Sus scrofa: one gene and its partner. The protein of the gene in region 1 interacts with the protein of each later gene in a pairwise test. Links are inferred from orthologs where the notes say so. Each region holds a gene or a part of one and is shown on either strand. Other genes may lie near its edges.

Region 1 (3,658 bases):
GTTTTCTTATTACGGCAGTGTAAATGTAGCACATTTTCTGTGTGATGTAGTAGCTTTCTAATTTATGAAGCCATGTCTGTATACTTAGAGTATATACATTCACACACAAAGAATGTGTGTGTGTGTGTATTTATTCACCTCTCCTTTTATTCCCAGGCACAATAGACAACTTAGTCTATAGGAAGAAAGAAACAAATTTTGTTTTGATCCATGTTTTTACCAGTCTTTTGGGGGGGTCGTTATTATTTAAGCTTTTTTTATGTTTCTGCATTAACTATTTATTTAACAGTTACATTCTTTCTAAGCTCACAGGCCAGAACCTTGGGGGTGTGTGTGTGTGTGTGTGTGTGTGTGTGTGTGTGTGTGTCTGTGTTTGCTGGAAGTATGAAGGTCAGACAGTTTTCATAAATATATGATGGTTTGCCTCATTGATAAATTTGCTTTCTTGTTGACAATTTCCACATCCACGTACATTTTAGGTGTGCACTTTTTTCTGGGCATTAAATGGAGGAGCCTAGAAATCCTTTCATAATGTACTAGGATGGGATGGGGTGAAGAATGTACTTCCCCCTTTTCTCTCCTTTCTGGCACTCTAATAATTATGCTTTTGTTTCTTCAACCACAGCCGAACCTCTTGAAGCCATTCTTACAGATGATGAACCAGACCACGGCCCTTTGGGAGCTCCAGAAGGGGACCATGACCTCCTCACGTGTGGGCAGTGCCAGATGAACTTCCCATTGGGGGACATTCTTATTTTTATCGAGCACAAACGGAAACAATGCAATGGCAGCCTCTGCTTAGAAAAAGCTGTGGATAAGCCACCTTCCCCTTCACCAATCGAGATGAAAAAAGCATCCAATCCCGTGGAGGTTGGCATCCAGGTCACGCCAGAGGATGACGATTGTTTATCAACGTCATCTAGAGGAATTTGCCCCAAACAGGAACACATAGCAGGTAAATGAGAAGCAAGGAGAAAAGCTGTTTGCATGTTTTCTTTTCATTTTCAGAGGCGCTGTAGTCAAGCACTAAGGAGTGGTGAAGTGCTTTCTGTATTTCTCCATGTGACTGTCCGTGACAGCCCTGTAATGTTAAAATAATCATTCCTCTTGCTGATGTCCAGAACACACAAAAATAGATATTTTCCACTTCACTGAGTCAGATGTAGGCGGAATAGGTTACACACACCTGATACCCTCTCTCTGGATCTGCTGACTCTGAATTTCTTTCCTTTTCCTCTCCCCTTCTCATTTTTAAGTGTTGAACCTCACTATACCTCGACCAGTTTCCAAGGTCCATTTCCAGTTGTGGTGGCAAGTCAGAGGCAAAGTGGCTGTCTAGGCATTTGTAGTTCAGCCAGTGACCTGTTTGAGTCAGAAGACCTGGTCAGGCCTCCCTAGGGGTGCAATTTGTTCTCAAATCTTCCGTGAAGTTGGGTGGGCTGGCGGGACGTTTTGGAGGGGTTGGAAAGAGTTAACTGAGCTTCAGGGCTAGCCTTGGATCCATATTGGCTGTCAGCCCGAATGGGGCTGTAATTAAACACAGCCCCGTGGTGGGATGACACCGTGACCTTGACTTTAAGATGCCATTTTCGACTGGCCAGGCCAGAGTAGAGAGGGCAGTTGCTGAAGCGCACAGACATGCTTACTCGAAAAGTTTAAGGGCATGTTGGAAATTTCAAAAGGTTGGTTTGACAGGAACGGCTGCTCCCTGCAGCCTGCCTCCTCAGCTAAATGATAAATGCTTCTCTGTGCTCTCTCTTGTCTCTGATGTGGTTTTGACAGATGTATCTTGATTTTGTTTGTGGTTTACACAACCACATGTCACCCTTACAAATGTCCAGTCCAGACTTCCACTGTTTCTGCTATACCACAATGTAAAAATTCTCTTGGAAAAATACATACACACATTCAACAGCTCGCCTTCCTTTGGTTAATTTTAGCAGAGAGGTAGTTAGGGGTGTGGGTTCTCAGCAGCTCAAGGGAAAAGGATTTAATGGCTAACAGAGGGACCTAAATCCCTACTCTAAGTGATAAACAGCAACACTATATAGTGACCCTTCAAACATTTTTTTTTTTTTGATGAAACAACAGTGATTTAACATGTAAGACAAAGTGGGTGGAGATCCTGTGGTGACAAAACCTGCATGCCTGTCAGTGGATCACTTCCCCCTATTTTCTCTGCCCCTACTCCTAGAAAGGCAGAAGGTTTGTCCAGTTTTAGGAAGGGTAGTGCCTGTAATTGTAATCAGTTGATTCCCTGGAACTTGTCCCTTCGACCTAGTTGAACCATAGTGGGTCAGTGGTCCAGAGGGGATTAAATGTCACATTTTTTCTCTCTCCCCCTCTGGAATTTGATCATTAAAATCAAACATGGCATTTCCTTCCTTCCTTCCTTTCTTCCTTCCTTCCTTCCTTCCTTCTTCCTGCCATGACACTCAGATACTTTTCCTCTAGGGAAATGAGAAATCTGCTACCAGGGAAGCTGCATTAACAAAATATTTTTCTTGAATCCACCACATGTAGCTTATATGACATGCAGGTTAGGATTTTATCCACCCCACGCCCACTCCCTGCAGCCCCTCTGCACGCCCCCCGCCCCGCCCATGGCAATGACCATCTCTCTGTGCTGTCTTGTGACTAGAAGGAAAATGAACAGAAGTATAAGGCATGATTAATGAAGCAAGAGCAAGCGGAAGGGGATTTGTCGTCTTCGGAGATCCAAAGCCTTTCTAAATCACCAAATATGGAGTAACACTTGCGTGATGTAACATCGTATTTACATATTGAGCTGCTTGTTTAAAAGACAAAACACAGTGTCTGTCAAGCAGGAATTAAAACCACACTTCTTACTGAGGTCCCAAATAGGTTATTCAGTTTCAGATTAACCAGCTTGAAAATTCTGTGCCTCTGTCCTTAGACGAGAAATCTAACAGCTGAGGGGAAGGCCCTATGGTGAAGGCTTTTTACTGTCACAGTTGTAAATATATGTAGAGAAAGAAGAGATATTTTCCTTAACTCTCTGCTTGTCATAAAGATTCCTTTTTTTTTTTTTTTTCCTAATGGACTAGTACAGTAGCAGAGCCCAAAGAAGCCCCCCTAAAAAGTACATTTAAAATATGTTTTATAGGGCTAATGCTAAGTAATTTCACTGAGATGAAAAGCTACGTAAGCTATCTGAGACAGTCAATGGGTGCACGGGTGCTGCGACCCAGGTGAGGTAAACCTTTCATGCACGAGTAATTACAAAGTCTTGATTCCTTTCATTGTGTTTAATCACCTATTCCCACCCTGGAATTGGCTGAACATAAATAGCATGGTCACATCTCAAAGCGAGATGTCAGTAACTAGAATCACGACTTCTCATAATTCACGGTAATGAATTAAGAGTTTCCTATGGTGAAATTAACATTCTACCATTGCACATAAATTAAGATGCCCTGGCTCTCAGGTGCCTCTGAAGCGAAGTTCTGAACGGCTGTGTACTCCCAGCCCATTTCTCTCGAGCACATCTTCACAATTCCAAGTCTGCTTTTCTTTTTATGGCGAGGAAGCAGACAATAAGAGTAATCATTCAGTAGATATTTGAATTGTATTGCGAAAGAAAGGAGAAGCACTGCTCTGGATTAGTAAAGAGATATATTGATGAACCTCTGGAAGA
Region 2 (3,658 bases), on another chromosome or scaffold:
TTTTATTTTAGTTGAAATGTCAAATTTAATCAAACATTTTTAAAAATCTAATGATTTCTAAAATTGTTAATAAAACAATGTTTTCTTATGAACACTGGAACTGAGAGAAACAGAAGGTGATGAGAGCATTCCCCTGTAAGATGTTATGAATTAGTCTCATTATTTTATATTCACAGCTTTATATTTTCCATTGTGATGCTTGGTTTTGGCCACTGATTTACCAGCATACAGAATTAAAGGGTGCATTGCACACCTCCCTTGATTCATTAAGTGCTTTGAGAGATTTTGTAAACAAGTAGGCCTGACACATAATCCTGTGGTTGTAAATGACATTAAGAGGGAGGAAAAAACTATGTGCCTTTAAAATTGCATCATATCAAAACTCAGAAATTTTGTTGTTAGGAATGTCAGAAGTGGCCTGTGCCAGAATTTTTCTACCCTTAAGGGAAAGAAAGAAAATGAAGTATTCACAACCATTGGCTATTACCAGTGCATTCGTGGAAATTAATGACAAATTTCCCAAAAGGCTAATAAGTAGTTCTAAAAGCAAAGGATTTGTTTCTTTAATTCATTTTATACCTAATTAAAGCATAATAGTGCCCCTTAATATGAAGTACGTTTCCTACAGAGAGACCTGGCAATGTGCTCAAAACATTTAATCTCCTAGCATGGATGTTCTTTTTTTCATGGCCTGGACTTTCAGACATGGTCAGAATTAGACATTGTTTACCTTGCATTTTTAAAGTATTATTTTCTGTACTTAATACAATGAAACTAAAAATAAAACATTTTGAAAATTAAACCTTTTGGTCTGATTGTGATTTTGGTTACAAGCCTTCACAATTCAGTCCTCTCAAAAGAAAATCCTATCACAAAAATCATCCAGAATTGACTGGTTTTTTGAGAGATTTTTCAAAAACAGATTTTTCAGGATGGTTAATTTCTATCTTTGACTAGTTTTACTGGTTGCCCTGGGCCATTTGCTCTGTGTGTGTGTATGTGTGTAAGTTGGCTATTTTTTCTCAAAACTAGTATTTGTAGACTCTGTAATCCAAACAAAATTTACTTACTGTCTGCCACTTAGCCCTTCAGTGGAAACCCTTCAGTAACAAGCAAACTGCAGTGAAGTAGAATCCAGTATATTAATTCGGAAAAGGAGCCAGATTTTCATTTTACATATTCAGTAGCACATTTTAATAGAATGAAAATGACAAGCACCTTGATGCTGTCCACTTATGAGTCTCAAAAATCAGGCAGTAAGATGAGGTAAACTCAGTAAAACCCGATTAACATAATTACACCCTGATTTCCCTGCATGTCTCTTGGGAATTAGTGATCTCTTTCTTTCTCTCCCAGCCCAGCCCCCTCAACCTTCCAGGAAGATAGGGGCCCAGATCTGCATGCTTAGCCTGGAAGCCTCAACCCTGATAATATCAACATTTTCTATGAGGGAAATCCACCTGCTGAGCTGTTGGTAGCATTTCATAAGAGCCTAGGTCTCCCTGGAAGTTTCTAGGTGGTCAGGAACAAATGGATGCAAGGACAACAAGGGTAAACCTTCTTCCAAGGGAAGCAAAATTTGGGGAATTAGAGTGACTCTCAAATGTGTGTGCTTAAGTATAGGCACCTTTTCAAAAAGGAAAATACGGGGAAATAAGGGGAAGCTAGAATATTCAGAGGAAAAACTAACAAGACAGGCATTTAAAACACTTTTTAAAATAATGGAAATTTACATATTGAAATTGTTTATAAATTTATAAATTACACACTATATTATATTATACATCTATTGTATGACAGCTGATGCTTTTGGAAGATGCTTGGAGAGAACTGTTTGTTCTAGGAATAGCACAATGGGCCATTCCGGTTGATGCTAACACCCTACTGGCTGTATCTGGTAAGAATTGCACAATTTAATGACTTTGTTGTAGAAATTACCATAAAAATACATTACTGAAAAAAGAACAACATGTAAAGAATAACAAATTCCTGCTGAACAATAGAGTATACCTGTCATTTATAAATCTATATTTAAATGCAAATAATGTTGTTTTGTTGTATTCATGACTGCTTGCATTGTTATTTAAATGCAAATTACTGTGTTTGTTATCATCCAAGAGAAGATTTTATATTAACTTTCATACAATATAGCCAGTTTACATGGAATCAGATATCTTAGAGTGACAATTGAATAGATATTGATATGCAGAATTTTGTCAAAAATCAATATTAAATCATGAAAATCCCTTCATGTTGAGCATTTATTCCATATTTTTATTCTAGGCATGAATGGTGACAACACAGATTCCCAGAAGCTGAACAAGATCATATCTGAAATACAGGCTTTACAAGAGGTGGTGGCTCGGTTTAGACAGCTCCGGTTAGACGCTACTGAATTTGCCTGTCTAAAATGCATCGTCACTTTCAAAGCTGGTAAGCAGACACAAACTGCTGTTTCTTCTTCCCCTGTTTTGCCACCTAATTCAGCCACCTCCAAGTCCAGACTGACCCCTGGCAAAAAGAGGTGATGGTTTTCAAGAAAGCTGATACTCTTAGTCTGGCTTCTCCATTTCCAATAGCCACGGGGACCTGCACATTCTCCTGCTGGCCATCCACTTCCAGAGAGTGCTTTCCCCATCTGCATTTCCTGTGTGCTGCCTATCATAGTTTCCTGGTCTTCATTTCTAGTTCCTACACACAGTGGTTCTGAACTGAGAAGTTTCCGGAATGCTGCCGCCATCGCAGCCCTTCAAGATGAGGCTCAGCTAACTCTCAACAGCTACATCCACACCAGGTGACCCTTGTTTGCCTTGAACATGTACTTAAGAAAATTGCTTCCGCTGTGAATGCATGAGCAGGCAGTAAAAAGCCAGTTCAAGCATTGTGACTGATGATCCTGTTGCCAGCCAGTTAATTTAGTTAGAATCTATGTCCTCACCTATTTCGAAGGGTTGGTAAGAGGAGTAAATAAAATTAGATTATCACAGTGAAAGCACTGACAGACCCCTTCCAGCTGTCCTGGATGAACAAGTTGATCCATCAAAATAGCTGTACACATTTAGGTGAATGGACTCAGATATGAAAAAGGTGAAAAATGAGGGCTAAAGTGGTATGTTAGTTGATATATTAGAGTGATCACATGATCCTTTGGTAAGGGCAAGTAGCTTTCTTTAATGCCAATCCCAAGTAGAAGGATCAGAGAATTTTCTAAAGAGGTCGTCTTTAACCCCATCATGACTGCTGTCTGGCTTTGGTGATTGGTATCTGTTGAACCATTTTGAATCATAGCATCCACCAGGTTACTTCTGGCCAAGCAAGGCCCACTGGCAGGAGCTGTTCTTGGCTATTTGTAGAAACTCTCAGTCACTGGGTTCTAGCAGTGCTCCTCCTGGCCCACCAAATGGGCAAATCCACCATAAGGTAGACTTTCTGATTCCATTTTCAAATGAAAAAGGCAAGCATTTAAAGAACAGTAGAGGAGTTCCTTTTGTGGTGCAGAGGAAATGAATCCGACTAGGAACCATGAGGTTTCAGGTTCAATCCCTGGCCTTGCTCAGTGGGTTAAGGATCTGGCATTGCTGTGAGCTGTGGTGTATGTTGCAGACACGGCTTGGATCTGGCGTTGCTGTGGCTGTGGCACAGGCTGGCAGCTGTAGCT

What was found.
Region 2: the proteins of BCL11A (region 1) and NR2E1 interact in a two-hybrid assay, tested with the Homo sapiens proteins (2 studies listed by BioGRID). The link is inferred for Sus scrofa from reciprocal best matches to the Homo sapiens genes BCL11A and NR2E1.

What each region holds. Positions count from the first base shown.
Region 1 is NC_010445.4:81,204,316-81,207,973, forward strand, and holds part of BCL11A (B-cell lymphoma/leukemia 11A), read left to right. Parts: intron 1-625; coding exon 626-955; intron 956-3,658. UniProt on the Homo sapiens protein: Transcription factor. Associated with the BAF SWI/SNF chromatin remodeling complex. Binds to the 5'-TGACCA-3' sequence motif in regulatory regions of target genes, including a distal promoter of the HBG1 hemoglobin subunit gamma-1 gene.
Region 2 is NC_010443.5:74,283,659-74,287,316, forward strand, and holds part of NR2E1 (nuclear receptor subfamily 2 group E member 1), read left to right. Parts: intron 1-1,800; coding exon 1,801-1,897; intron 1,898-2,283; coding exon 2,284-2,433; intron 2,434-2,688; coding exon 2,689-2,794; intron 2,795-3,658. UniProt on the Homo sapiens protein: Orphan receptor that binds DNA as a monomer to hormone response elements (HRE) containing an extended core motif half-site sequence 5'-AAGGTCA-3' in which the 5' flanking nucleotides participate in determining receptor specificity.